Linked DNA regions of Oreochromis niloticus. The protein of the gene in region 1 purifies or fractionates together with the protein of each later gene. This does not show direct contact. Links are inferred from orthologs where the notes say so. Each region holds a gene or a part of one and is shown on either strand. Other genes may lie near its edges.

Evidence for each region.
Region 2: the proteins of ssb (region 1) and ro60 purify together in Homo sapiens (affinity purification with mass spectrometry; 3 studies listed by BioGRID and IntAct, with this or other methods). This does not show direct contact. The link is inferred for Oreochromis niloticus from reciprocal best matches to the Homo sapiens genes SSB and RO60.

What each region holds. Positions count from the first base shown.
Region 1 is NC_031987.2:16,035,909-16,051,701, forward strand, and holds the start of ssb (lupus La protein), read left to right. Parts: upstream 1-7,338; 5' UTR 7,339-7,494; intron 7,495-9,394; 5' UTR 9,395-9,401; coding exon 9,402-9,461; intron 9,462-9,548; coding exon 9,549-9,652; intron 9,653-11,803; coding exon 11,804-11,978; intron 11,979-12,225; coding exon 12,226-12,333; intron 12,334-12,434; coding exon 12,435-12,538; intron 12,539-12,921; coding exon 12,922-12,993; intron 12,994-13,081; coding exon 13,082-13,124; intron 13,125-13,222; coding exon 13,223-13,363; intron 13,364-13,863; coding exon 13,864-14,050; intron 14,051-14,200; coding exon 14,201-14,311; intron 14,312-15,453; coding exon 15,454-15,536; 3' UTR 15,537-15,635; coding exon of another isoform or gene 15,636-15,677; 3' UTR 15,678-15,793. Other genes in the region: klhl23 (kelch-like protein 23), read left to right, coding at 1,946-3,170, 4,138-4,290, 4,370-4,680; rRNA N(6)-adenosine-methyltransferase METTL5, read right to left, coding at 15,636-15,677. UniProt on the Homo sapiens protein: Binds to the 3' poly(U) terminus of nascent RNA polymerase III transcripts, protecting them from exonuclease digestion and facilitating their folding and maturation.
Region 2 is NC_031982.2:9,732,811-9,748,413, forward strand, and holds ro60 (RNA-binding protein RO60), read left to right. Parts: upstream 1-8,101; 5' UTR 8,102-8,249; intron 8,250-8,306; exon of another isoform or gene 8,307-8,818; intron 8,819-9,199; 5' UTR 9,200-9,217; coding exon 9,218-9,788; intron 9,789-10,026; coding exon 10,027-10,247; intron 10,248-12,026; coding exon 12,027-12,173; intron 12,174-12,265; coding exon 12,266-12,403; intron 12,404-12,505; coding exon 12,506-12,622; intron 12,623-12,892; coding exon 12,893-13,009; intron 13,010-13,218; coding exon 13,219-13,416; intron 13,417-13,702; coding exon 13,703-13,855; 3' UTR 13,856-15,485; downstream 15,486-15,603. UniProt on the Homo sapiens protein: RNA-binding protein that binds to misfolded non-coding RNAs, pre-5S rRNA, and several small cytoplasmic RNA molecules known as Y RNAs.

The DNA.
Region 1 (15,793 bases):
TTTTAGGCCTGTAACCTTTTGTTTGTCCTTTGCATGTCCAGTTTCTTAATTTTTTATTAAGGTCACAGTGAATGGCATGCTGAGATATGCCATGTTTTTTTTTTTTTTAATTTTGTATAATACCTCTTTAGAAATCATGCTGTTGTTGCAATGCCTGTCAAACTGTGATGGAATTTTTCATAGATTCAACTAAAGGAACAAATTAGGTGTTTGTACGATAAAGTGGCTAAAGATACAATTTATAATTGGCTCTTTGCTAAGTTGTCTGTTATGTGTAGACACAACACTGGTTCATCCCTTGATTAAGGTGGCTTTTTATGCTTGAATGATTCATATATCAATGTTAAAGTGCTTAACAAAACAAAATAAAATAAATCCCTATGAAAATGGTGAGTTACAAGAGCTGGACTGATATGTGAAAAAGCAGCCAATGTGCAAAGGACCTTCAGGAAGCCCAGAGAGCTATCCCCTAAGACCACTTGAAACAAAATTACAAGTCTGGCTCATTGGAAGCAAACTATAAAGAAGTTAGCTCAAGTTTTTTTGCACTTTAATATAAAATTAAACAATTTCACCCGTTCACACAGACTTACTACTGTGTTACATAAAGCCGGTTATGATGTTGTAACAAAAGACAAAGTTCGATTCATTTTCAAAGTTTGATTAGATATTTTACCTCAGTTGGCTTTTTTTTATCAGCATCATTTGTTTGATTTATAAGTTAAACGTTTAGAAAATACTGAGTGGGACCGTCGCACTGCTCATTTTAACAACAGTTAAACGATAGAATAAATTCATGAATAAAATCAAGCATTGGACTAAAACGAAAAGAAACAGCATGTCTCAGGGAAGGTAGCTTTTTTATGAAGATTTATGCAAAACAGTTGCCAGTCAAATCTCTCTCACTTGGCCATTAAGTTATGCATTGAGTCCAGTCTGCACCGCTTTCCCCTTTAATTCAGCATTAAGCGTTAAACTCTCAGGTAACAGCATACACAGCCCTCCATTCTGTTGCTTTGTAAACCCAGGCGGCTTATTGTGCGGCACAAAAAAACAATCTCTCTTAAAAAAAAAAAAGTTTTTACAAAGGCTCTGTTATTACATTAGTTCTTATGCAGTAATATTGTTTCATTATATATGATTTGCTGAGATTAACACATATTCCGTCTCCGTCTCTGCAGCCCTGTGCTGTTAATCCTCGTTAGGATTAGCTAAAGCCTTTACCGCACTGGAATTGGGTTCAGAATACCATGGCAACGCCAAGAATGATGAACACATGAATGGACCAGTGCAATGACTTCTTCGTCGTCGTCGTCTTCCCGTTCTTCTTCTTGTGCCCTAGTAAAAAGCGACGCTCATTTGTATACTATTTGTATTCTGTTTGCGCCTGCTGGGTGCACAGAAAATGTGCCGTCCGTGAGCGCGTCACGAGACTGTGGATGGATGGAGGTTATATTTAGACTCTGAGAGAAAACGGTGGGGTTGGGTGATTCCTCTGAAGGAGTTTTGTCAAGGACCCGCTGTTTGAGACTACAGAGCAGAGGAGAGGAGAAGAGAGGAGGAGGAGGGGGTTATGGACGCTGCGCACAAATACCAAAATAGGATCGAGCTGCCTGCCTGCGACTGTCCTGCGTGAGCTAAATTGAGGCTCATGTGTGGTGAAGACGGGAGAGCTTGAGGACAGTGGAAGGAGAGAGAGAGAAAAAAAGCTCGAGTCATTCATGGAAATAGGGTGAGTGGTAATCAAGCAGTTTGCCTGCTTGGATACATGGATTAAAGCGTAAATGCGGAGACTCTTCTATGACCAGTCACACTGCAATTAATTATAAATGGGAATGTGACGCCTCGGTATTGCTTTGATGTTTGCCAACCCACTATGTGTGTGTGTGTGTGTGTTTGCCTTACATTAGACACATACTTTCTCCATCTCTCTTCTCTAGATATCATGTCACATAAACAAGCCGAAATCTACACATATGACTTCTGTGATGGTGACCATCCGGCAGAGCTCCTGGATGCGCTCAGGCACTTCTACATTAGCGGGCTGTTTACCGATGTCGCTCTGCAGTGTGGCGAGTCCGGACAGGTGTTTCACTGCCACAAGGCGCTGCTGTCAGCCCGCAGCTCCTATTTCAAAGTCATGTTCACAGCTGACATGAAGGAGAGATCAAACAGCGTCATCAAACTGAGCGGCATAGACTACGGGGTGCTGGGTGCTCTGGTGGACTATGTGTACACTGCTCAGGTGTGCATCACTGAGAGCAACGTGCAGAGCCTGCTAGAGGCTGCAGATCTGCTGCAGTTCGTTTCTGTGAAGCAAGCATGTGAGGAGTTTCTCATTCGCCTCCTGGATGTGGACAACTGCCTGGGCATGCACGCTTTCGCTGAGCTGCACCTGTGCCCTGGGCTGGAAAGGGAGGCACGCAGAGTGATGCTGAGCAGGTTCCCGGAGCTCATTCAGCAAGAGGAGTTTCTAGATCTGCACCCTGAGAAGATGAGAGAAGTCTTGGCTGTACAGAGCCTCACTGTGCAGAAAGATGAAGTGTTGATAGATGCTGTCGCCACATGGGCAAACCATGACTTAGATAATCGCCTACACCACGTTTCAATTATGCTACACTCCATCCATCTGGATCTGGATGAGATTTACTTTAAGACCACGTTAGACGTGTATAGACAATACTTAAAGAAGAATGATGGGAAATTGAAATCTATAATCATCCAGGCTTTAAGGTCAAATGGAAAAGAGATACCTGTGGCTAGAAAAATGTCTGCCAACATGTATATCATTGGAGGGTACTATTGGCACCCTCTTTGTGAAGTCCACATCTGGGATCCTGTCAGCAACACATGGGTGCAAGGAAAGGACATGCCCAACCATGCAAGAGAGAGCTACAGCGTCAGTTTACTTGGTGCAAATATCTATGTGACAGGTGGCTACAAGACAAACACTGTTGAGGCCCTGGACACTGTTTCAATTTATAACTGTGACTGTGATGAATGGACCGAGGCCTGCCCCATGATTACAGCCAGGTACTACCATTGCTCTGTGGCGTTGCACGGCTGCATCTATGCCATCGGAGGCTACCGGGGAGGAGCTCCCGAACGAGACACCGAATTTTATGATCCTTTAAAAAAGAAATGGTTCCCTGTGGCCAAAATGATCCAAGGTATGCTGAAATATTAGGATTGTTTTATCTCCAGGGCTGAAATGATGAGCAGGATATGAATAAATGAAGGCAGAGAAAGCAGTTTCACCACAAGGTCCATTTAGTGGAGTTTTATGAGTTCTTTATGGGCTTCTTACTCATATAGGATGAAAAGCTGTGGTTTAAAACACATGGTCATAATACCATCTGCTGATGAAGATCATGTGACTGAAAGCTCCTGAGCAGCTCATAGATGGGACTTGTTGTTTCTACGTTCAAGAATGAGCATTAGAATCAAATGTCATTATATTTTTTTTAAACTGTATCATTAACAATCATTTGTGTGACTCTTACCATTTACGGTAGCAGCTATTTATTATATGTTCTGCACAGAACAACAAGCCGACAGAGTTCACATTAAGAATTGTATCCACCACCCAAAGGGAGTGAGCAGGCAGCTAACATTACAGCTCAGCAGAAGGAGACATCATTAATGTTTAGATAGTGTCACACTGTTGAAAACTCATGCTTTTCAGCATGGTTAGATGAACTGTGGGGGTATAGCTTAGCAAATAATAGAGAAGTTCATAACTGAAACTGCTTGAAACAAGGTTTGCAGATTTTTGAATGACTAGGCCACAGTTTCTGCGAAAGCTGCTGAGTTTTTCCAAACAGTGCTTTGATAACCAGATGTCAAGTGCCATTTATTTCCATTTTATTAAAGAAAAACCAGAATCTGATAGAGCTGATATCTGCTAATCTGAACAACTCACATCAAAATGATCCAGATGGATAAATGGCACTACAGGCCAGAGGAAAAACATATAATTTTGATTTTGCGTGAACTGTCCCTTTGAACTGTGCATATATATATATGTAACTTTGTATGAATGAAGTGATAAAACGAATACTTAAGGTATCATCGTTTTTACGTGATAGACAGTTTGGACTGTTCAAGTGATGCTTATGATCTCTGCTTTCTTTGAAGGTGTAGGAAATGCTACTGCGTGTGTAATGGGAGATAAAATCTATGTAACCGGAGGTCATTATGGCTACAGAGGAAGCTGCACCTATGAAAAAACACAGGTGTACAGACCAGATGTCAACGAGTGGAGCATCATTACAATAAGTCCCCATCCAGGTATGCGTGCTAAAGAAGACCAAACAGAAGCATGAGTATATTAAATGCTGTTTTCTAAGGTGAACTCCTCTCATTTCAGAGTACGGGCTGTGTTCTGTGTCTCTCAACAACAAGCTGTATGTGGTGGGTGGACAGACGACGATTGCCGACTGCTACGACACAGAGAGAGACGAGTGGAGACCGATATCGGTGATGAAGGAGAGGAGGATGGAGTGTGGGGCCGTGGTAATAAATGGTTGTATTTACGTAACAGGTGGATACTCGTACTCCAAAGGGACTTACCTTCAAAGCATTGAGAAATATAACCCTGAGCTGGACTCGTGGGAGATAGTGGGGACTCTCCCCAGCCCGACCAGGTCACATGGCTGTGTTTGTGTTTATGGTGTTTAGTGACACAAATTTTTGTTTACTGATTATTTTGTGCCAAATGGATCTAACAGTGACTTCACTGAAGAGAGCTAATATTCCACACTTCATATTTATCTCACAGCATGTCAGCCTGCACCAGATCCTTTAGGAAGCTATTTGCCAAACTGTGAATATAGTGATGAATACCAGCTTTTCATACAAAACTCAGGGGCCTCATGTTGAGCGTTTTTTGTTTGTTTGATTGTTTGTTTAAAATAGACTGAAAAGAAATGCAAAAAAAGAGAAGATGACATTTTATAATCTAATAAGTATTATTTAAAAATCACACTACAAATAGACTTTTATTAGTAGAAGTGTACCAGGTTGTACCTTGATTGAACAAAGTACTAAAATGCTAATGGAGTTCTGTTTGAGTTCAGTGAATTTTATGGACTTAAGAAATTTATTTGGCACTTCATTCGTTATATCTGTTAAACTGTTTGTTAACACAAATATTTAATCAACCGGTCACATAGCAGCAACCCATTGCATTTAAGCACGTAAACATGTTCAAGATGATCCTGTGAAGTTCAAACTGAATGGGGATGAAAGGTGATTTAAGTGACTTTGAATGTGGCATGGTTGTTGGCATTTCACAACCTGCTAATCTACTGAGTTTTTCCCAGATAGCTATCTCTAAGGTTTACAGAGAGAAGATGTCCAGTGAGTGGCAGATCGCGAGCTGATCCAAGACAGAATGACCAGACTGCTTTGAGCTGATAGGAAGGCAACAGTAACTCAAATAACCACTTGAAGCAGATGGGCTGATTTGGCAGCAGAAGACCAGACTGGGTGCCACCCCTGTCAGCTAAGAACAGAAAACAGGCTACAGTACAAACAGACTTACCAAAATTTGAACAATATAAGATTGAAAAATGCTGCTTAGTCTGATGAGTCTTGATTTCTGCTGCAACATTCGGATGAAAGGAATTTGGCAAAAACAACATGAAAGCATGGCTCCATCCTGCCTTGTAACAAAGGTTCAGGATTGTGGTCTTACAGTATGGGGAATATTTTTTTGGCACACTTTCAACTTCTTAGTAGCAGCTGAACATTGTTTAATCACCACAGCCTTCCTGAGTATTGTTGCTGACCATGTCCATCCCTTTATGACCACAGTGTACCCATCTTCTGATGGCTGCTTCCGGCAGGATAACACTCCATGTCACAAAGCTGAAATCATCTCAAACTGGTTTCCTGAAAATGACAGTGAGCTCACTGTATTCAAATGGGCCTCCACAGTCACCATATCTCAATCCAAAAGAGCACCTTTGGGATTATGGTGGAAGAGAATTCTCATCACGGGTGTTCAGCTGACAAATCTGCAGCAGCTGTGTGGTGCTATCATTCCAGCATGGACCAAAATCTCCGTGGAATGTCGACAGCACCTTAGTGAATCTGTGACACAAACTAACATGGGGTACAACACTGTACCTAACCTGTGCCTAATAAAGTGGCTGGCAAGTGTATATAACAGATACATAAATATTATACATAAAAATGAAAATAAATAAATAATAAACACACAACACAAAGACTTTGCAGCTGACCAAACACACACATCCGCACATGTGCAATAACACTAATTGTAATTATTTTTCTGACAACATAGTATTTTATTCTATTGTATATAGTATTTTATTCTTTTTTTTTTATCTCATCCTATTCCATTGTTTTTCTTAATTTTTGTTGCTGTAACTTTGCACTGTCTCCTTTCTGCTGTGACACAACAAATTTCCCACGTGAGGGACTAATAAAGGTTTATCTTATCTTAAATTCAAATAATTGAAAAAAGACGAGCTACATTACATTTTTTAAAGTTGATGTCAAAAGAGAAAAATACTGATAATAATAACAGTCTTTTCCCAAACTTAGGTGGGTGATATTTACGTCACACATACAACAATAAAAATACAATGTGGATGTCTCTCAAAACAAAGTCAGGAACGAGGCAAAATTATTTTAAGCTAATGAAATGTCAGCCTTGATAAAAGTCTGACCTTCCTTGCAACAAACGGTGCAACTGAAGTCCTACTATAATTGTTTTTAAAAGGTACACACATCAATAAAAAAACAAACTAATAAATACGAAAAACAAAAACTTTAAAATGACACATAAAAACTAAACGCCATGATTAGAATCACAGCGGCATCTTGTGGTTGTGATATATCATCGCAGTTTCTAATATAGGCATCAAATTTACACACTGTTCGCGTAAATACGTGACTTAGCAAAAACAAAAAACAAAAGAATAAACAGAAATTACATTTTTAAGCGCAAATATGAAGGCATAAGAAAGTTTAACAGGTATGCGAACATGTACAAGAATACTGAAGGTTTTGGATAAATTTGTAGTCTTACGTTATTTTTATTTCAGGCTTGGGAATCTTAGTGTGTTTGAAAAACAAAATGCACATCGATCAGTTTGCTTAAACTTTTAAGTAAGAAGGTAACGTCTTATGATTTTAAAGTGCACTCTGGCTAAGATTTATCAATTTAATAATTAATGAATTTAAACATTGTCCACGGATAGATTAAGTTTCTTTATTTTTATTTTTATTATCTGATTACCCAAATATGTACTAGTGAAAATTATTCCAAAACATTAGCACGTATACATAATGAAAAAGACCAGATTTCTTGTTGTTCAGCTGCAGCGATCAGAGGAGCTTGCGCGAACATGAGTCCTTTTTGGTCCTCGGTGGGCTCCGTAGCACGCAGTTCCAACGTGCGAGCGGCGAAGTGAGGACTGTTGGTTTCAGCGGCTTAAACTGCTTCTAGCTGCGACTCATTATGTAAGTGCAACTTTTTACGATTGTGAAAACAATGTTTAAGGCTTTCTATGTTACCCAGGGAGTGTTTTATAACGTTACTAAAGAACAGAGTGGATTTTCTTCAAGCAGGTTTGAACAGCGTGCTGCAGCTAGAATAATGTTAGCAGAGTAGCGGTGACTACTTTAATTTACATATAAAAAAGTAATTCACGCACTAACAAATCACGTAATTGATTAAAACATGTACTGATAGCGTGGATAGACAAATAAGAAGCTGCTTTTGTTGTGTTGACACCAAGCGTGGCCCGTGTACTGAAAGAGCTAAGCTAACAGGTTAGCCGTGGAGCTAGATGAGCCTGTAGTTAATTATGACGAAAGAAACACGTTGGTTGAGTCCTGTGATGTACTACAACTCACAATTTTAGGTTTGGGTTCCCTTTTGTAAGATTTAAATCTGGGCATCTATCTGAAGGCGCGTATCTAAATATAAATATGCAGCAACTAAATGTTGTTTAAAAGTGCATGTAACTGTTTAACTGCATTACGTTATTAATTTGGTTAATATAATTAAGTCTTAAAGATGGTTCCTATATGGCCTTGCAGATAATTTACAAAAACTCAGACAACAGCAAGGCCTCATAGCAGTGTTTAATATGACAACGTGGCCAATAGCTGATCATAATTTTTCCCTAGTTCGTTTTTTTTGTATGTTGTCTTTCAGTTTTGGATTTTATTTATTTACTTGTTTGTTTGTTTTGGGTTTTTTTGTTGTTTGTTTTTAGCGATTTCTTTATACTCTTCCTCGTACTATATTTCAACTTTCAGCCAGCACAACATTAATGAATGTCGGCTAGGGAGGTTCGTAAATATCATTTGGTTTGCGGATAAGCTGATGTCGAGCAGCATCCCTAGAAAATGGCCACATAGCTGCGCTGTCCTCACTACAGCAAAGGGGAATGGAACTTTCTGTGTTTACAAACATAAAATATCAATTCTAGGGGTGAAAAAGCCCCTTTTCCCATTAACATAGTTCAGGTTGCCTAAACCTGGCAGTTTTCTGTTTTTAGTCATTTTATACCTCCTGTTTAAAACAGTTGGCTCTTTGAGTACTAAAGTCTAATATTTGTTAGAACAACCTGTTGTATAAATGTAATCTTTGCCATGTTTTAGATTGTTTAGATTTTTGACTTCACAGGTTGTCATACAAGTATTTGTCATGATTTTTGACCTTCAGATATTTTACTTGATTCTCAACAGAGTTCATTTCTAACAAATTAAGAGGTACATCAAAAAGCAAATGAAATGAAAAATAATGAAAATATTTAAGTGTCAAGGCTTTGTTTCATTAGTTTAGCTTCTTATTAAAAGTGTAATTCCTGCAAATTATAAACAAAATTACTTTTTTGGGATTTGTTATAGAATAATCATTTTTTAATCCAAATTTTATTCCTTTTAATCTTTAATTATTAATTTATTAGTAAAACCAAAATCTTAATTGATTTGGCCAATAAGAGTGCATCGTAAATTGTAAGTTTATCCTATAGGATTTTATGTGTGCGTGTGTGTATGTTCAGTCTGTTTTAAAACTTATAACAATCAAGAATTTAGATAAGTGAATTGAAATTTGATTAAATATAGATAAATATTGTGAATGACCTCACCTGCAGTACCTTCACAGCCCAACAGAGGGCTGCGATCCACATGTTGGGAATCTGCCATTAATATAAAATTTACAGTTAATACAAAAAAGCTCCCCTCTGGCACACTAAAGATAGAAAACATTTCGACTTTTTTGTTTCATATATAACATGGATAAAATCTCTTCTTATAAGATTTCTTTATTTAAATATTTGTTGTAAACATCAGAGAAATCTCTAACTCAGGAGGACACCTTTCTTTTTGTTTTGTTTTTTCTATGCAGAACCAAAATGGCAGAAAGTAAAGAAGAGATGTCCCCACTGGAGGCGAAAGTGGCGCGACAGATCGAGGTATTTCAAATTTAAAGTTTAAACTCATAATTTGGTATTTACCAGGTAAAACTGGTCCTGATTTGGCTGTAAATTATTCCTACCCAGTACTACTTCGGCGATCACAATCTTCCAAGAGACCGGTTTCTCAAAGAGCAGCTGCAGGTTGATGATGGCTGGGTGACTTTGGAGACGATGCTTAAATTCAACAGGTTTGTTTATTTCTCTTTAATGCATTCCGTGTCAAATTATAACTGTATTTATTTTATTTTAATCTCTATTTTTGGCTTTCATTTATTTACCTATGCTTTTTGTTTGGGGGGGGGGAGGACTCTACTCTGAAGTATTTAAGTGGGGTTTCAAAGTCCAGGCGCTATCTTCAGTTTGTTCAACTTTAGATTACTATTCAGTACTACTGATCTATTTACTGATTGATGAGAAGTCTCTTTAACTTAAGATTTTTAGCTGATTGCATTGTGTATTTATAAATGTGATCATCTGGGGTCTCTAACTAAACTTAGGACTGAATTTTAGATGCACTTTTTAAGGTGTTGTTTGACGTTACGAGACGCTGCAATAAAATCTACTCTGTAAATTTGTTAATTAAATTTCTTTCACTGTGAAATTGTATATACCTGTGGGGTAAATTTGTTGGTTGCTTATATTAGACACTTTTTATTACAGATTAACTAAATACTATGCTTATCACAACTCGGCATTAAACACTGTGCTTACCTTCTGTGCAGTGCAGTTCTAACACTGCTTTATCTGCTGAAATATGAGCATGGAAAACTGACCGTAAAGCCCACTAAAACACAGAATTTAGCCACAGAAAATTAATAAATGAAAGCTGACACATGATGTAAAATGATCTGACAATTTCTGCTAAAGTGTCCTATCGAGTTCAACGTTTTGTCATCCTCTAGAGCAGCGGTCCCCAACCTTTTTTGCGCCACAGACCGGTTTATGCCCGACAATGTTTTCACAGACCGGCAATAAGGTGTCGCAACAAAATAAAACTAGTGCCGGTACCGAAAAAAAGAAGATTTATTCATAACCCACGTGAAAAGACCCAGGAAAACCGATAAAAACGATAACAAAATAACGCTGAAAACTGATAAAAACTATACATTTCACACCTGAGCCTCAACTCTCGCGCCCCGGTACCAAACGACTCACGTACCGGTACCGGTCCGAGGCCCAGGGACCGCTGCTCTAGAGGTTGTAGTTTTGGATATTATGGTAAATGGCCTGCATTTGTATAGCGCTTTACTCAGTCCCTAAGGACCCCAAAGCGCTTTACACTACATTCAGTCATTCACACACACATTCACACACTGGCAAGCTACATTGTAGCCGCCGGGCCCTCTGACCACCACCAGTAGGCAAACATGGGGTTAGTATCTTGCCCAAGGATATTTGGCATGCAGCCAGGAGGCAGCCTGGGATCGAACCACCGACCTTCTGATTAGTGGCTGACCTGCTCTGCCACCTGAGCTACAGAGCACATGTTGGTGTATATGTGTGTGAGGATCTTTAAATGCAGCATGCGAGTGCAGCTAATAGGAGGAGACAGTGCCTGTGGCTGTAGTGAATGTTAGTTTCAATGTGCATTCACATTGCTGTTACTGCATTGTTGAAGTGGCGTTATTCTCTTCACCACACCTGTAATGACTAAAGGAGGTGTGATTGAGGGCTGACGGTAATTGGCAATTAACTAGCTTAAAACCAGTATATTATTTATTATATTTATTGTTGTGAAAAACAGCCTTGTATGGACTGCAGTTCTATTCCACTTAGTATAAAAATACTAGCACAACATGACATACTGAAGCTGCAGTAACAACCTTCAGTCCACAAGGACAAGGGTAGGCTTTTGAGTATAGCTGCTTGGGGTGGGGGGGCTGAGCAAGAAGAGGAGGATAGTGATGACTAATCGGTGTGTTTGGACCCTTTCTGTGATTCATGATGGGCAGGATGAGATGAGAGCATGCTCTCATGCTGTGCCTCAAGTTCACTTGTTAGCAGCCAGGTCACAAGTGGCCACAGCAAGGGCAAATTAACACAGCAGGAGGAATCCATTCCTGTAATCCCTTTATTGAAGTGTATATTTAGAATGTAATGTTGTGTGTGAGTCAGCAAATTACATTCTAATTGAGCTTTATTACTTGAAATGAGAGTGCCCACCCCACTCACATACATAACATGAGCAGACTGAGAGAATTCAAAGAGGGAAGATTAGATGAGCTGCAGGGTCTTCTCCCTTATACTGCAGATGAATGCATGCATCATTAGCGTTAAAACACAGCCTTACAGCCGTCTGTAGCCAGGTGTTTGTTGAAAGATTTGCATTCTTTTCATAGGTTGAAGTCTTTAACCACAGACAGCAGCGTCCTCATTGCAGCTCTGGAGAAGTCAAAGACTGGTCTCTTGGAAATCAGTGAAGACAAGACAAAGATCAGGAGGTCTCCCAGCAAGCCCTTACCCGAACAGAACGATGAATACAAGGATGCACTTAAACACAAATCTGTATACATGGCAAGTTTTTTTAGTTTTTTTTTTTAAACTGTATGCAAATGCATTGAATACGTAAATATTTGTTTGTGCTCACATTGGCATTCAGACAAGTTTAATTTTTTTTCAAACTAATGCAGCGTAATGCAACAGTGCAATACATCTTTAGCCTACCCACACTCTTATAAATTGTGTAGACAAAATAATAATTATTCTCCACCTTGATTGTATTCTTACTGTTTTCCCTACATTTCGTTTTTTCCTCATCTAGAAAGGTTTCCCTCTTGAAACATCCCTGGATGAGATTCAGGATTGGCTGAATGGGAAAGGCTCGGTAGAAAACATTCAGATGAGGAGAAACCTCCAAAGGCAGTTCAAGGTACATGAAACACAACTTGAGATGTATATAATTTTTATTTTTATGTTTTTCAATTTTGGGAGACCTTCTCTTATATAATTTTTATATTTCTGTCTTTGCAGGGATCTGTGTTTATCTGTTTTGACACTGAAGAGTCAGCCAAGCAGTTCCTAGAGCGCACAGATATAAAATCATTCAAAGACAACGAGATGCTTGTGTTATCAAGGTAGGCTGTGATGCTTTTTAGGCACTAGCTAGCGGCTATCAATTGTGTCAGTGATTTAATGAAGAATTCACTGATTTAAGAGGTGTGGCAGATGTGTCATATATGTACTTTAATGCCCTTAAATCCGATGAAGTAGCTTGCATAACTTTTTATAATTTTTTAAAAAAACCTTTTAAATTGAACAAGGAAACTAAACTGTTTTGTTTGTTGGGCCAAGACAGACTTACAGGCCCATCGTACTTGACCTTGTGAACAGTGTAACAGCACTGCTGGTGATGTTTCAGCTTGCTGTGCACTTTTCGTTCGATCATGTCGGTTTTGCAAACCTTTGAATTTCTCTGTGTGAAACAACGTAATTGATCAGCTGTTTTTTTTTCTTTCAGGGAAGCCTACCATGCCAAGAAGGCAGAAGAGAAAAAACAGTTTAAAGCAGAGACAAAAGCAAAAGTTAAACAGTGAGTACATATTCTGTATCTTTAATCATAAAACTGGATTATACATTTTGTGAAAAATAACCTTCCTACTTCTGTCCTTTTTATTCAGGGAAAAGGAACAACAGCAGAAACATGCAGAAAAAAAAGAAATGGTAAGCTCTCCAAGTGTTTGTGAGCTTAGTCTGCTAATGAACGCACAACTTAAAGAATAAATAGGCTTTGTAATGATGTTTTCTCATTTTACTTGCAGGATCTGCTTTTGGATGAGCAGTCAGGACGTTTACTGAAGTTTTCAGGAGAGCTTGAAGGTGTTTCAAGAGAAGACTTCCATGAATTGTTCTCTGGGCATGGAAACATAAAGTGGGTTGACTTCACAAGAGGGGCCAAAGAGGTATATTTTCCATCTGTTTCTTCATACATGTGGTATAACCTTATCTACTTACATCATTTACTTGTGTAATTCAATTCAACATGTTTTAATTGTAACCATTTGTTTTATGTGTGTTTGTGTTTTATATTTGTGCGGGTTGGGGACATCTGGTGAAATCGTGTCCTTGCAAGAGAGACTAGATGTCTGGGGTTGTTTAGACTAATGGGGTGATGAATGATAATATCCACATCTGTGGTAATTACAGGAAATTTCCATGGATAGAAAGCAGTTTTCATTGACAGTACAGAGATTTTGTCTCTTGCAGAAAGGGGGTGATGTCTTCCTCAGGTTTCTAATGTTTGTAGAAACCAGGTCTGTAAACCTGACTGAAGTCAGGTTTACAGACCTTTTTTTCCACAACACAACGTGGTGGCATGACTCAGGATTGAAAATGAGTAGAGCTGTTTCATTTCAAAGAAATATTTTTTGTTTAAATATTTTATTTTTCTCCTCCTGATAAGGGCACCCTTCTGTTTGACGGGAAAGCACAGGAAGCGTTCGATAAAGCCAAAACAGCACACGGAGAGGAACTGAAAATCAACGACAACACTGTCACATGGCAGCTGCTTGAAGGAGATGAGGAGAAGGACGTAATGAAGAAGATAATAGAGGCTCAACAAGGATCATTCAGCAGGCCCAGAGGCAGAGGTGAGATGCATTTTCATGTTGTTTAACATTGTTGACTGCATTGGGATGTAATCAGTTAATGTCAATGAAGATACAGTTCCACAGTGTCATCTATCTTTTATAGATGAACGTGTATATGATTTAGTAAGATAGTCTTGTCTGTCGTAAAAGGTGGAAGAGGAAGAAGAGGCCGATGGGGAAGAGGTGGCAGAGATCAAGGCAGAACTCAGTACCAAGGAAAAAAGATGAAGTTTGAAAGCGATGATGAGCAGGAGAAGAAGGGTAAGTTCAAAATCATTTAGAGCATTCAGTTCATTCAACTCAAAAAGTTCATATCCCATTCATTTTCAGTTCCTAATGGAGTCCCCCAGTGATCTATCCTGGGCCCTCTTTTATTTGTCATCTGTTTCCTGTTCGTCATATTTTCCATACATTTTTTTTTTGTTTTTTTTAAATAATTTTTCTAACAGTTAAAGTCATAAATGTACGCAGATGAAGGCACAACATTGCTCCCACCCTTTCCCTCCCCTTGATAGAAGATCTCACGTGAAAAACAGAAAACAAAGTAGTGATATATACTCACGGTATACACTAAACTATAGACATGTAAGACAATGGGTCACTAGGCTATATAGAGTCAACATAAAATAATCATGAATCCATTTCGCAGGCTGACATATTCTCAACATAAATAATGAATGGTTGCCAGGAAGTATAGAATTTTCCAGCACACCCTCTGATGGTGAACTTAATCTTCTCTAGATGAATGTGGCTCACCACGTCTCTGATCCACTGGCCAAATGTTGGGGGCCAAGGATCCTTATTTTCTATAAACTTAATATCAGTTTCCGTTGTTATGTTGATGACATTCAACTCTACTCTAACTCTACTGGTCTACTAAACCTACTACTGCCATCCCACCCACTGCCCTCTGTGTTTACCTCCAGAAAATCAAATCCTTGCAATTTTCTCAAATTGAATTGATGAAATAGAGGTTCTCCTCATTGGCACCAAATCCACTCTGTCTAAATGTAACAGTTTCTCCCTTCCTTCTGGTCCAGACTCTAGGTGTCATGCTTAATAATAGGTGTTCTTTTCAAGCACACTCGCCTCCATCCATCTCTTTCACCTGACTGTACTGCCATCCTTGGTCACACCTCGGTTAGGACCCACCTACTGTAGCTCTTTTTGGTCTTTCTCTCAACTTGTTCATAAACTTCAAATGTTCCAGACTTCTGCTGCTTGCATCATCACCAGAACTCCTTAGTCACATCACACCTGCCCTTCAAAAGCTCCATCGCCTTCTGCTAAAATATTGTATTCAATATTCTGCTTCAAAATGTAGTCTTGGGAACATATTGTAGTCTGTGTTAAGATTATTTATCTAATTTGTATTTTCTTTTGTTTGTTTGTTTTCCCTCTAGCAGCTGTACCTATAAAGAGAGAACTGGAAGATCCCAGTTATGGTCCTGCAGCAAAAGTTATCAAAACTGAAAATGGATCTTAGTTATGACTTAAACTCAAATTTTCTTTAATGAAAATGTTTTATTACAAACAGTGAAAATGGAAAATACAGAGACAACTTGAGTCCATTCCAGTGAAAGCTTCAAGCTTTGGAAAATCGTAGGAAGTCCACCTGGATGTCAACCTGGAGAAATATGTTCAAAGCATCATTTTGCAGCCTTTTGTCCCCAAATACTGTGCCTCTTATATTATTTGTGTACCTAAGTTTCTCTTTTGAGGATGTTTTGGTTTTGTTGCATT
Region 2 (15,603 bases), on another chromosome or scaffold:
AATAAGAAGGCACACAAATTATTTGTGCCAGTCCAAAAAATGTAGTTTGTATTCAGTATAAGACAGAGGAGAACACCACAGGCCTAAACCCTGCAGGTCTGACAACTGGACGTGCAACAGTCCAGTTTTCTATGTGGAGACAGCGTTTACACTGGAATCTGCCTTTGACAGCTTTTTTAGATCAAATATGAAATTCAGCAGTCTAACCGACACACAATACAAAACAATAACTACACAACAAACTAACTACAGCCTCCAAACACGCTAAACGTCACTAATGTCTCACATATGAAAACTCTCTCTCTCTCTCTTTCTTTCGCTCGCCCGCTTTCCGTCGCGGGTGTCACTCCTAAAAACTTCCCCTTCTCCCTAAACAACCAAATGTCACATGTTGCCTTATCATTTTTTTGATTGGCTGACATGGTAAACTCTAACACCAATAGGGAAGGGGTGTTTTTCTTTTTCTTTTTTCACTCGCAAGTGGAGAGCGTATGCTAGGCTGTCTGTAGAAAACGCCGTTTTTGTCTAGCATCCCTGTTGAGAATAACCTTTGCAAATAAACAACAGCTAATAACAAGATCAAAATATTTTATTTGATGTATTGACATAAATGACAGAAGAAAAAGGCCATGTATAGCAGGACTACTCAATTACACACTAAGGTGGGCCAGATTTTCTAACCAAAAAAAAAAATTTCCCTGGCTCAGACATGCAAAAGTTAAACACGACCATACACTAATTGCAAATTAAACACAGTGATTTTGAATTGTGATGTGATGGTAAAATAAATATTTGTCAGTCTAAACTGGGTTAAATCTACGGGGTTAATGATGGGGAGGAGACGGAGAGAGACTGAGTACAGCTACAGAACCCACTTTCTGAAACGGACCCTGCTCACCATTCACCGACAATTCTGAGCTAACAAGTTGCATGTTATTCTTGGATGCGCTTGCAGGACCGGATTTAAAATAGCATGACAAACATATCATACCTGTTAAAGCCAAACAGTATCATCAACGTAGCCCGAAGAACATTTGCTAATAAGATGAACTTAGCTAAGTCAGCTATTTCATCGTAGCAAAAAAAAAAAAAGCACCACCTACCGTTCTTTATGCAACTTCAAATGTCGGACAAAGTTGGAAGTTGTTCCATCTCCATCTGTGATTCTCTTCTTGCATGTTTTGCATATTGCATTTCGTTTTTTGTTGACTACTTCGTAGTTTATGTACCCGAAAGAAATTACTCTTGGGAGCATTTTTGGCTCGAGCGTTTTTGTTCTTGTTTTTTTCAAATCTGGTTAATTTGATTGGCTGTGCTACAGCCCACGCTCACATACATACGGAGTGTGGTAAGAATGAATGAATGAATAAAGTGAATTAATGGTCCGCACTTTTTATATAATATGTATGTTAAATTTTAGATTTGGGTAAAATATCAAGTCTTTTCAAGTAAACAGGTTCAAGTCCAATTCAAATCCCAAGTCACTGGTGTAAAAGTCCAAGTCAAGTCACAAGTCTTACAACCTTTTTTCAAGTCAAGTCTAAAGTCATAAAATTAATGACTCGAGTCTGACTCGAGTCCAAGTCATGTGACTCGAGTCCACACCTCTGATGATTTGTAATTCCTTGATGAGATTGATTACCAGTGTTAGTCAAGTTACTTGAAAAAAGTAATTAGTAACTAATTACTGATTACTACTCCAAAAAAGTAATCCCATTACTTTACTGATTACTTATTTTCAAAACTAATTAGTTACTTAGTTATTTAGTTACTTTTTAAAAACATGATACACAACCTGAATACATAATTAAGCAGTAGAAAGACATTTTCTTCCCACGCAGAGTGTACAGCGGACGCTAATATTTTTGTCACTTTTTACCAACTAAAACTTAAAGTAATGTAAGTACGTCCAAGCTTTAAAAGCTGCATAGTCGTACTCTGTCCCGCACTCCATACTATCCATTGTTGATCTACACAAGTCTGTTGCTGCTGCAGGCGTTGCACGTGCTCATAGCTGGACTGGCCATCGGGCATACCGGGCATTTGCCCGGTGGGCCGCTCGTGATTTTTCGTTTTTATGGGCCGATGGGGTTTTATTTCTTTTATTTTTTCAACGGTATAAATGAATAGTGGTGTATTGGCCAGTTGGTCATGATCGACTCTGGGCTGGACCAATTACAGCCGAGGAGGTCGAACTTTAAAGTTGAGGTGAAAAGCAACGCGATTTGTCCCGATCAGAAAGAGCAAACCAGCGGAGGTCGCGTTAAACAACAGTAGCACCTTTAAACTTGATGAGCTGTTGTTAGAATTTATTTAATATTAATTTCTAGTATCAGCTGATGTTTGCTGGAGGGATGAAGGGTTGAAGGGAAGTTATGAACTGTTTCTGGGAGACAAATAACACCAGGATCCTTTTCTAAGTAGCTGACAGCTGGTAACTGTGCAGGGGCGGGTCTAGCAAAGTTTTGCCAGGGGGCCAGGTAGGGTATTAACAGGGAAAGGGGGGAGGGGGAACAAAAAATACGTTTCTTATTCTCATTTAAAATTTCTAGCTTTTAACAAATAATTATCTGAATCATACAACCAAAGTTTTCATCTGATGTCAAATGTATAGAAATCCATTATTGTACATAGTACTTTTTTCAGGGTCCCAGCATAATTTCTTCAGAACTAAGTACTGTATATGATGCCAGTATTTTCCCACATTTTCTAGATACTGTACCAGTACTGTGTGTAAAATACCATCAAAATTAAGTTTTGATGGTAAGTTTTGAGTGAGGAAGTTTTATTCTTTCTCACCTTTCTGTCTCCTTTCACTTTTTAAAGGTTGCCATGTTAGAAAAAATATTTTGCCCTGCCATGCTGTTTATTGATGTGGTAAATAAATAGTTTATGAAAATATCACTAAATCTGTCATTATTTTTTAATATTCAGTAATGGTCATGTCTCACCTTTAGTCTTCGGTCTTAATTTCAGGTTTCCTCCATGTGTTGTAGAAAGTTCAGGAGGTAAACCAAGCAGTCTTTGGGTTTCGGCTAAGTACTGTTTAGAATACCAGAATAGGGAGGATGGTGTAGGTTTAAGTTCTAGATTGATACATATGTACCAACAAGACAGTGTACATCACTGTCACAACGACGGTTTTTACCATAATACCTGGTGGGCCGGTCTCTAGTCAAAATGCCCGGGCCGATTTTTTGTCCCAGTCCAGCCCTGCACGTGCTTATGTCATTGTCATGAGCAGTGTTGGGACTAACGCGTTATTAAGTAACGCGTTACAGTAACTACGTTATTATTGTGGTAACGAGCACGGGAACTAGTTATTATGCCAAAACCAGGAACGCGTTACTCGTTACTGGGATTTAGATAGGCTCGTTACTCGTTACTTCGTGTGGTGGATATCGCGGAGCTTCCACAGATTCAGTAACATTAGCAAGTGGTGGAGGCCAGCAGGTGGATGAAGGAAAAGGGAGGCAAGAGGAGAGACCCGAAGCGGCCGCCGGTCCGCGTGTCAGGTGAACTGAACTTCAGGTAAGAAGTTATGACCTGCAGTCTATCTGGGTCAGATATAAACCAAGTTTAGGTGGAGTTTATTTTCGGTATGCTGACATTTTCGTACTGCGTGCTAGCTAGCATGACGGAGTTTCTATACAGCTGGGTGGGTGCTATGTTACTGATGTTGAACTTTATTTTGTTCATACGGTTAATTATTAGAGTTGCCAACCGTCCCGTAAAAAACAGAATCGTCTCGTATTCAGAGAAAATATTACGCGTTTCGTACTGAGGTGAAAAGGAACACAGTTTGTCCCGGACTTCAGCTACAATGAAAAAGACACAAAGCTGAAGCTGCACAGCTGCCTCTTCTTCTCTCATTCTCTCACGTTTCTACTTCAATCACGAAACTGATCAATGATCAGCTGATCGGCTTTTCTCTCTTGTTTATTTATCGCCCACTTTGCGCCAGAAAGAGGAAACCAGCGGATGTCGCGTTAAACAACAGCAGCACGTTTAAGCTTGATCAGCTGTTGTTAGAATTTATTTAATATTCATTTCTAGTATCAGCTGATGTTTGTTGGAGCCACAGCTGTAAAGCTGCTGGTCATGATATCGGTTTGGTTATCTGGTGAGAGGGAAACATGAAGATGAAACCAGGAGATGTCCTTACTGAATCATCAGAGCTGAACAGGTGATGGAGAAACAGGTTTACCTTTTAGGTGACATGAATGAGTTGAAGGGAAGTTATGAACTGTTTCTGAGAGACAAATAACACCAGGATCCTTTTCTAAGTAGCTGACAGCTGGTAACTGTGCAGGGGCGGGTCTAGCAAAGTGTTGCCAGGGGGCCAGGTAGGGCATTAACAGGGAAAGGGGGGGACAAGGAAATACTTTTCTTTATTATTCTCATTTAAAATGTCTCGCTTTAAAAAAAATAATTATCTGAGTCTTACAACAAACAATTGATAGAGTGATACATATATACCATCAGAACAGTGTACATCACTGTCACAACAGTGTTTATTTTCATTCAAAGGCTTTATGATTTTTCCTATATTGGTGGGCCGGTCTCTAGTCAAAATGCCCGGGATGATTTTTTTTGTCCCAGTCCAGCCCTGTATGCAGCTCATCTGCAGTCTGGTGTTACCTACATCTTCCTATTCAGAAGGCAGAATTTCCAAGTTCTGAGTACAATCAAAAGCACCACGACTGCAGTTTTTGTGTTGGATGTAAAAAGCAGGCTAGAATCATGGCGGCGGTCAACGACGGTCCAGGCGTGGGATTTCTCTCGTGGAAATGTGCACATTATTTTTTCCTTTCTGTTGGTAGGTGGCACAGTGCACTTGTGGCAAGCAAGCAAGCTAGAAGACTGGCAATCTTGCTGAGTATCCAGTTACGGAAGCAACACATTAACAAGAGAATTCCAATAACCAAAGTTACTTTCCCTAGTAACTAGTTACTTTGAAAGTAACGAGTAACTTGAAGTAACTGAGTTACTTTTTTAGAGAAGTAACTAGTAATGTAACTAAGTTACTAATTTAAAGTAACTTACCCAACACTGGTCATGAGACACTCTCACAAACAAAATCACAATGGTTTAGTAACGCAGTAACGGAGCGTGCTAACGGGAAAGTAACAGTAATCTATTTACTTTTTTGCGATAGTAATCCTTTATATTACTCATTACTTGAAAAAAGTAATCGAATTAAAGTAACGCATTACTGCCCATCTCTATTATAGCTCTTAATTACACACGATCACAAATTTTTACCAATATATATAAATATATATATTTGACCTGCTCCTTTTTTCTTTTTTCCAAAGATTCACAATTTAAATGCATGAAAAATGAAAAAAATTCTTCATCATTTATAATGTTGCACTTTGATTCATGATAATTTTATAAATAATGTGTTCCTAAAAGTTTGCTTTTCTCTTTTTGAAGTGTGGAAAAAAACAGCATCTCCAGAAATAATTGTTTTTGCTGCAAAGTGTTTCTTTGATGCTTTTTGTTCTTGCATGAGGGGAGAGAAAATCTAAAATGTAAACATTGTTTAACATGAAATTATGTAAGTTTATATGAAATGCAAGCTTAGAGCAGAAAATTGTAAAAGGTTTGATATTTGTGCAATTTTACTTCTCAAATTTTGAAGATTTTAGATGTTTTTCACTATTAAATATGCTTTTAACTATGTATATTGAGTTCCTTTAAATGTCTCGACATCTCTAATCAGTCTAATTTGTAAGTGGGAAGTTACTGAGCTCTTTTTTTGTCACAATATCCATATATATCCATATATCCAGTAAGCGGGAGTTCACTGGGTAAAAACAGCTTGAGCTAGAGGTCAGAGAAGAATTGCCAAACTGCTTCATGATGATAGGAAGGCAATAGTAACTCAAATAACCACTGGTTACAACCAGGTTAACCCAACCATAGATGGGTCACAAGTCAGTGCCCTTCAAGTGCACTGACTTTCAGTTCAAGTCAACTTTCAATTTAATTTTCAGTTAAAGTGTATTCATATAGCACCAATTCCCAGCGACTGTCACTGCAGGGTTCTTTATATTGTTTAATACAGACCCTACAATATTAAACCAGAAAAAAATGGAGTCCCAAGTGAGAATAAATGCGGGGAGTTGTGTCAGGAAGCGCATCCTGCGTGATATCTTAGGTAAATCAAACATGTAGATCATCGAGAAGAACATTTCGATACCAGATTAGTCAGATCTGTGGACAACAACAACAACCTCTGATGCTGTTGGAAGGCATGTTCAGAGGCATCAAGAAAGAAGGAAAGGCAAGGATGTAAGGAGAGGTAGAAACCAGGTGGGAGGGAAGCAAGGCCAGGAACTACTAATACTCTTAGTATGCTGTCGCCCGGAAGAGAAATGAAGCAGGGGTCATCTTGAAGGAAAAACTTGTGTTGTGGAGGTGAAGAAAACAGAGGTGACGAGGAGGTGTTGGTAGGTATGATGTTAAGGAGAACAATGCTGAAGAACAGAAGGTAGTGGATCTTGTGAAAAAGATGGAAATGGCCGTGATGAACACTGATGGGGTTTGCAGAATGTACTCCACCATACAAAATACACTGAATCCTGGCAAAGGTGCTTCTTGACACTGGGCTGTTAGAAAAATAATACATTTTCATTAGAATTTCTTGCTTTGTACAAACTAAATATAAAAGTGAAAAACAAGTAAATTTTTTCCATCGGCTGTGAAACTATTCAGGTTTTTTATAGCCAGTTTTGTTACTAGATGGTAATTAACAGATAGTCAAACACCTTCTTCATGTACAAATTGGTATTACAGAAAAAATATAACATTGTCAAATATAAACAATATACTATTAATATATTTATATTAACAATATATATTATCAGTATATGCGCACAGAATGGGAGGAAAGGTGCACAAAAAACAAAGACGTGTGATCGTTTCTCTCACTCACAAACAGGTGAAATATAAAAAAAGGAAAGATCTGCAAGGTGAAAGGTATCGGATTTGCAGTGGGAAGGAAAGAAAATGCCTTAAGCCTAGAATAGAACAAGCTCGGAAAGTTGGAAAAGGGTCCCGTTTCTGTGGCCCTTTTGGATACATTGAAGGTCAGTTTGGAATTGATGGAAGAAAGTGTGTTTGTTTTTTGAAAAGTGAAAATATGTGATAGGAAATCTATCTGGAAGACTGGCTATATGTTTTAATGCATTGTTCTCATCTGATGGAAATCAAAATCATCAAAATGTATGATTTATTCTTCGTGACATAGACATGCTAATGTTAGTGTTTTTTATGTTGATAGACTGAACAAAACAAAAGCACTCCACTCTTTTTGGCCTCAGGCTTGGAGGTGCTGATTCTCATTCCTGCTGCTTCACATTTGGCTGCAAACCTCTCCAGTGTGAGCTGGAGGCCACCACCTGATGAAGTCAATGGAACCACATCATCTGCAAAAAGCAGAAAGCTATTCTGAGGCCAACAAAGTGGAAGCTTTCTGCAATCTGGCTACGCCTAGAAATTCTGTCCATAAAAATTATCAACAGGAGTGACAAAGACAGCCCTTTGTTCCCATTTATTCTACCCGAAACTAATAAAATTGCCATAAACATTCTTAACAGCCTGAAAGAAGATTTGAAACAAGGAGAAAAAGCTGAGCTATGTCAAATTTCATGAGAACTGGGCTTAAAACCTGTTGTTACAGGTCTTATGGATTGATGATTGAAATTTTTTTATTTAAATCAATGTAAGTATGTACGGAGGAGGTTAGAACAAAGGTACAACAGTTTTTATATCCATCCAATAACCATGGTGGAGGCTCTGTCACAGTTTGGGGCTGGAACCTGGAGCCTGGAGAACTATTCCTAAAGACATTAAAGAAAAAATTACAAGCTTGTATAAGAGAGTTCAGGCTGTGCTGAAAAATAAAGATCGTCATACCAAATATTGACTTGCGCATGTTTCAATAAATCACTGCACTTATTTCCCGTTTTACTGGCAAAATATAGAAAAATGACAGGTGGCTCAAGTCTTTTTCAGTGGATTGTGAACCACTAAAAAAAGTGAATGTGAACGTATGGAGACAAAGTGAGAGAACCCTGGGGGAATGTGCCTGTGTGATTTTACTCCATATCCCGGGATCCACCGCGGCACCGCCCTGTTATCTCACTGACGGTCTGCGGGGAGGCCTTTCCGCATCTAGCTACATTAAAGAAAAAAAAAAAACAACCCAAAAAACTTGAGCACTGTGTACATACGTGGTGGTAAGTGGATATTTATGTCATGTTATTTCAACTCGCAAACAGTATGTGTTGAGTAAAACCAACACAGTTTTGTTAGGGTTAGCGTATGTTAGTAGCCATCCTGGACTAGCTGTATCAAAGTGCTTTCCGGTGTCCCAGCCAGAGAGGAGCTCAGATTGGGGAGTTGATAGTTTTGTGCTGACGGCTAACATTAATATCATTACTATGCAGCCAAGTCACGGCTGGGGAAACTGAGGAGACTTGGGCTGGCTATGAGTTGCTACATGACTAGTCAGATTCCTAACTTTATTGTTAAATGATTAAAACCGCTAACTTACTTCACCTTGTCCAGACCGCCCTCCTTTGCTAGCTTAACTAGTTAAGTTAGCAAACGAATCTCTACCGGGAGTGTTAGCTAAGGCTGACTAGCTTGTTAGCGCCTCATTCCGCAGCTAACTTCAAATGACGTGTAGTTAACTTGTCGTACCATCTCCTGTTAACGGACCAGCGTGTCTTCTCTCTGTCTTATGCGTATCATCATCTTCTGTAATCGGCTTTAAGCTATTTCTGACAGCGCTCTGAGGCAATGAGTAAGTCATGTTTGCTTGCGAAGTTAACATTGTCTTGTGCATATACATGCTTTCTGGCTGGCCTTGAACTCGAGAGGTTGTTGAAGGGGCTCAAACATTTTAATTTGCATTTTAACAACGTAGCTGGATAATTTATGTCCTAAGTAAGGTGTGGTAAGCGCCACCTTAGCAAACGCTGGGTGGTTTATTAACGCTTGCGCAATCCTGTCAAATCCGAACCATGGTTTGATTTACACTGGGGACGCTTTACGTCCCGTTAGTATTAGTAGTTAGCTTTTATTTCATTTTCACTATAATATAAGATAAAATACCACAATCAAATTACAGTGCCATTTCATTATAAAGTTTAGAACTGTTTCGTTTTACTACAATCTGTTTCAGGACGCCTCAAGTGTTTCAATGGAGCTATCAGGAAGTACCACTAGCAACCATACCCTGAACTCAACAGGTGTTGGTTCATGGGAGATCAGTGACAAGGCCAAGCTTTGTCGCTTCCTCTGCTATGGCTCAGAGAGGGACTTGTACAGTACCAAAGAAAATGGTCGCATCAAATTGGAGAACACTGGAGCCCTGCAGTCCATGTTGGAGGAGAAACGAGGCGCTGAGGTGTTGGAGGAAATAAAAAGGTTCGCTCAGGATGGGCGAGCTGTCAGACTGGAGCCCTCCATTTTTGCCTTGGCTTTGTGCTCCCAGAACCCAGATGTGAACACCAAACAGGCAGCGTTCAAAGCCCTGAAGGATGTTTGTCGTGAGCCTGCCCATCTGTTTTCTTTCATCAAGTACAAGAAGGAATTAAAAGAGCACATGAAATGTGGGATATGGGGCCGTGCCCTGAGGAGAGCACTGTCTGACTGGTACAATGAGCAAGATGCCATGAGTCTAGCTGCTGCAGTGACCAAATGTAAGCAGAGAGAGGGCTGGTCACACCAGGATCTGCTCAGACTCTCCCACACTAAACCAGCTAGGGATGGTAAGTATAGAGACCCACGTCATTTAGCCTGCAGAATGTTAGAAGTAATCAGTTGAATAAATGTCTGCAGTTATCCAACTTTCTTCTCTGGGGTTTTATTGGATGTTCTCTGTTCTGAGCATATATGTGCATATTTATAAACTCCCCATGCTGAATTTTAATCAGTACAGTGTAAGTTTTTATTTTGTTTCACTTTAGTCGGTGCTAACATGCAATGCCCATCTCTTTGTGTTTTCAGCTATTGCCTTGATCAGCAAATATGTAACAAAAGGGTGGAAAGAGGTCCAGGTTGCTCATGAAAACAAAGAGAACGCCGAAGAGGTTATCAGGGTGCTTTCATATCTTGAAGTGGTGGAAAAGGTAAAGCACAGTCGGGATGAAACTGAGGTCGTCACTTTAATAGAGGAACACAAGCTTGAGAGGGAACAGCTGCTGACCGAGCATCTGAAGTTTAAACAGGTGAGTCTGTTAAATCATTTTTTTTTTTAAGATGCTTTTTGTTTTTTGTGCTCGCTTGTTTTATTACTAAGCACTTCCGTAGTTGTTATGCACCGTGATACTGTAGTAAGTAGTAATTAGCAGTTTCCGACAGATCAATTATTTTTTCTGGAAATAGGGTTATTAAAGCTGGTGGGACACGTACACAGGATGTCTTGTAGACAGGCCTGGTTGTTGTTTATAACATAGATCGTAGTGATAATTGATGAGATGAATTCAGTTTTTACACTTGGGATCTTATTAAAATTAGAAATGCACACGAAATAGTAAGATTTTCAGTGTTCTCAGCCCAAACTGGTGACTGACTGGGCTGAGAACACGTAAAGCAGCGCACATTCATAACCACAGTTTGACAAGTGGGGAAACTGCTCACACTGAGTGACTAGACCAGTGTCCAATGCAGAAAACCATGGGGAGATGACCACAAAAATGTTTAACAACAAATCTAATCACTTAAATCACTTTCACCCAGCTGAACATATGAAGCAAGAAAAGGCAAAGTGGCTAAAGCAATACAGAACTCAGAGAAGGTGCAAGCTAGCAGTGTCTGTATGAGCAGTCAAAGCTTAAAAACGGTTATGAGGAAAATTATGAAGGCAAGTGAAAAACAGATGGGGCTTGTGAAGTTCAAAACAAACTGGGTAGTAATGAAAGCAACTCGTATAGTTTTGTTTAATAAATATATTGTACCGGCTGTTGTTTGGTAAAGTAAAATATGCCATGTAAAGGGTGGTGTACAGCAATTTATTTTCAGTTTTGTTTTTTAATCTGTACCTCCTTCCAGTAGCAGCACAAATGATAGAAAAGTTTATTTTTTCAGTTCTCAGAAGCTTGTGATCAGCAAAAATCTCCCTCGGCAGTTCACACTAAAAAAAAAAAAAAGAAAATTGTATCTTTAATTCAAACAGAGCATTTAGAACAGGGGTGTCAAACATAAGGCTCGAGGCCCTGGAAGAGCCTGGCAAAAAGTCCAATCCGGCCCACTGGATGACCCGCTGGACTTTCACCTGTATTTTCATAAATTTTACAGCTTGTCCTGCTGATGAAGCCCTCCTACTCAGTCTTGCATACTACATCAGATTATTAAATGAACAATTAAATGACAGAAAAGTTCCTTTTTTTGGTTTTCAGTACTGACAAAAGGAATTCCTGCTTTTTACAGTGTGTCCACAGTAAAATAAATAAAACAACAAAAACTTTCTGCTTTATAATTACAGGACAGTCTGGTAAATGAGCTACCAGAATGTCTTTATCATGTAGTAAAACTGAGACGCCCTGTTGAAATTGCACCTCTTTATTTATATTGAAATATTGGAGGGATTAAATGTGCAATTACACGTAATTACACTGACAGAAAGGGGACTTTCCTAGGTCTGGCCCACTTAAGATTAAAGTTCTGTGTATCTGGCCCCTGATATAAAATAAGTTAAACATCCCTGGTTTAAAAAGTAACTGCTTTCTTGTTTACTACCTAAACACCAAATACCATAAATGATCTTTACTATCTCACCTCCTGAACTGCTAGGACTTTTTTTTTTTTTTTTTCCAGTTTTTGGGGGTTGGGGTGAGCCCCTTGTAAGTTCCTGCTCACTGCGTAAAAGTGTTCTCTGGAGGGGGGAAAAATCGAAACATTTCTTATCTGTAAAACTGCAATGTTCAGGTAGACTGAAGCCTAATGTAAAGAATGTGGAAATTTATTTTTCTACATCTAACAGGATGTGTGGTGGTTGTTTTCTGCAGGTATGGAGCGCTTTGTTGAAGGAAATGCCTCTCCATTCGGTGGTAAAGATGTTAGGTAGGCTGACATCTGGCAAAGTTCTTGAACCAGGAAGCTCAGAAACACAGTTTTTATGTGACAGAATTCAAAGTGAGACTGCACTAAAACAGGTAAGGCTCACAACTTCTACCAGAAATGTTATTTTGTTTTTAATTATGCAGAGGTCAATATTTATAAATTAAATGTCTCCTAAAATCACCAGGCAAAGATCCACCCTTTCAGTATACTTTTGGCTACAGAAAACTACAAAAAAGGCCATGGCTATCAGGGTAAACCAAAATGGGAAGCAGACCGCAACATCCTTAAAGCTATGGACTCTGCCTTTTACAAGAGTTTTATGGTATGTTGTTGTAATTTTCAAAACTTTCTCCAGTCGTTGCAGAAGATGTCAGCAGCAGTTGTTTAACATGAATGACCTGTTCTGCTGTGACTCTGTCCTCAGAATGTGGAGCCTGTGGGTAAATGCTTTGTTGTGGCAGTAGATATGAGCGGGTCACCGAGCAGCATTGTCCCAGGAACGTCGATCAGCACTGCTGCTGCTGCAGCCGCTATTGCCATGGTAAGACTGTACTACAGCCAGATGATGCCATCTGGTTAGTTAGAACAGCTGCATCTTCAAACAGGGCTCAGGCTGCCCCATCTTTAGAGAGATCCCGGGTGATGGCGTGGGACTGTTGACGCATACTGTGAATTCCCTGAAAATTCCTTTCTCAGTATGTTAGCGCATAGGGCCTAACAGTGGTGTACTGTGTGTGAATGTGCATGCAGGATAAAGGCATTTTAGTCAGGGTAACTAAATGGCTTTCTTTTGACCTTGGCTTTGACACAGATTTTAGCAAGGACAGAGGCTGACACACATGTGCTGGTCTACTCTCAAGAGGCTATGGTACCATTCTCTATTTCTGCTGACATGACTCTCAAAGAAGCAACTGATGAACTGGTTAAGGTAAGGATTTACAGAACATTAAAGGTGAAGAGAATACGAGCGACTGAACAGTTCCTTTCAGGAATAAGGTAGTTTTGACAATACACTATTTGTTACAGACAAGCAACTAGAGGCAGTTTTTTCTTCTTCTTCTTCCACCTTCACATCAAAGTACTGCAAAGCAGTGCTAGTTAGCTCATCTACCACCTGTTTATTGTCCTCTCACATAGAGCACGAGAGAAAGGGGTGCACAGCCATCAGGTAGTGCCTTTATGTTGCAGTTCCTGAGTGAGAGCAGAGGCTGCACCGTTCCCATTCAATGGGCCACAGAGAACAGGAAAGCTGTAGATGTGTTCGTCATTTTGAGCACCAACCCACTGTTGATGTTAACTGCCAGCCCGGTGGAGTCTCTGAAGAAGCACAGAGAAGTATGTTCGTTTTTTCACATCTGGAGTTGAATTAAATAATGGCCTTGTGTGGTAAAGATTGTTTTTGAAAATATACAATATCAAGCAAAGATTAACGGGATGGGGTTGATGTGCTATTTTTATTCACATTGTTCCATAGATGGCTGATAGGGCACAGTTAATTTTACAGCATTATAAGTTCTCCTTTAAACTCCTTTATCTAAAAGGTTACTTAAAATATGTACTAAGTAACGATGGCAAATGTAACATTTTTACAATAAACATGGTTTGTGTATATTCTCAACAGACATCAGGAGCTAATTCGAAGCTGGTGATGTGTGACCTGACTAACACTGGATTTGCCATCGGAGACACAGAAGACCGGGGTTTGCTGACCATCTCTGGCTTCGACCTTGGAGCTTTTAGTGTCATTCGTAATTTGGCCCAAGATCTGATCTGATAAGATTTCGGGGACTTTTCTTGAGTAATGTAATGAGTGTAGAATATGAAGGCAAAGAGTGGACCAATGAGGCTCATTTAGCATGTAGAGTGTCCCAAAACAGCACTAATCTAAAAGATGCTGACAATTTCAATTCCAGTTTTTCTTTGTTTTCTCTTGCTCACCATTAAGTCGACAAAGTATCCAGCGGGCTGGACAACACTTTGGAAATGTAAATTGCATCTATATTTTGTGAAAATTGAATAGGAAGTGATTAAGACATGGTATGTGTTTGCATATCATGTTTTTAAGAGTCTCTATATGATCAGCTGTTCAGTACTTTGGTGGATTTTGATGGGTCGTGATTTAAGTGGGGAAAAAATGAACCAATTCAACATTTGTAGCAAGAGGTTGTCAGGTTAAGTGGAACAATGCAGTTTAGGGTGTTTGCAACTGTAGGTTTACTTCGGGGGGGATTACCTGTAGTTTTCAACATGCATCTATGGTATGAGTTAGCAGGTTTGATGTAGAGATGCTTTAAACCTTCATTTCATGTAGCGTTTCTTAGACATACTTAACATCAGTGAAAGAGAAACCTGAAACAAAGCATACAAAGTCAATGGTAAAACTTGGAGTTGCTTTTTATTGTGTTAATTTCACAGATTTCTTAGATCAGAAAAGTTTTTCTTTAAGTATTAACATCTTGGATTCCTTTTACACAGTTTTTGCTTTAGCTTAGCCACAAATTTTAGTTGTTCTAACATTTGTTTGACCCTAAGCCCAGTTTATTGCTTTAAAGCTGAGTTTTTGGTTTTCTTCTTGTGAGATTATACTTTAAAAGAAATGTGGTGACACTTTTTATAAAGCAAATTTGGATTCAGTTTTAACAACACACTAACGCCAATGTTTGGGATTTTTTTTTTTTTTTTTTTTTGAAAATTTTGTTTCAGTCTGAATTCTGTGCATCAGAATTTACATTTTACTGTAATAAAGTATCTGGGAAGGACCAGTCATAGCTCTCTGATACCCGTTACCTTATCTTTAATGTGACATTGTTTGTTCTGCAACAACAGAAAACTGCTACATTTCCAGAAAACTTGATATGAATGAATCATTGTGAAAATTATTTGAATGTACTTTCATAAGACCTGTAACGGTCAATTTAAAAGACGTTTTATATTTCTCCAGACACAGAATAAACATGCACAGCTTAGAGAGTTTTAGAGCCAGGGCCTGTTAATTTTTGAGGAAATGTAAGCAAATGATTACAGTGGTGCTTTTCGTTTTAGTCAACCGTAATAATTACTGAGAATATTCAGTAAGCTTTACTTATCACGGTGTAATTTAGTCTTCATAAAAACTAAAAAAGAATACAACCCAAACTGACCATGTAACTGTGAAGGATGTTTGTCCCAACATGCTGATGTTTTCATTTTTGTAATTTTAAAGCAACATCCACAGTCTTTTTGGTCAACATATAAAATATTTATAACATGACTGTTGACACAACGTTTTGGGAGATGGACATGAGATTTGATAGTTCTCAAGTGTTTCACAACCATTCTCTTCTATCTGTCCTGCTTAACATGTACCTATTCACTGTAGCGGCGATGTAAAGCCCTTCCTAATAAACAATTTGCTGCTCTGGAAATTTGCGTTCATCTTAACAATAACTGCCTGAGTTGTTGGAACTGATACATAACTGTGATTAAAGTAAAGTTTGCAATTTAAAGCGGGTCGAAATCAGGCATCTTGAGAGGCCGCACGAT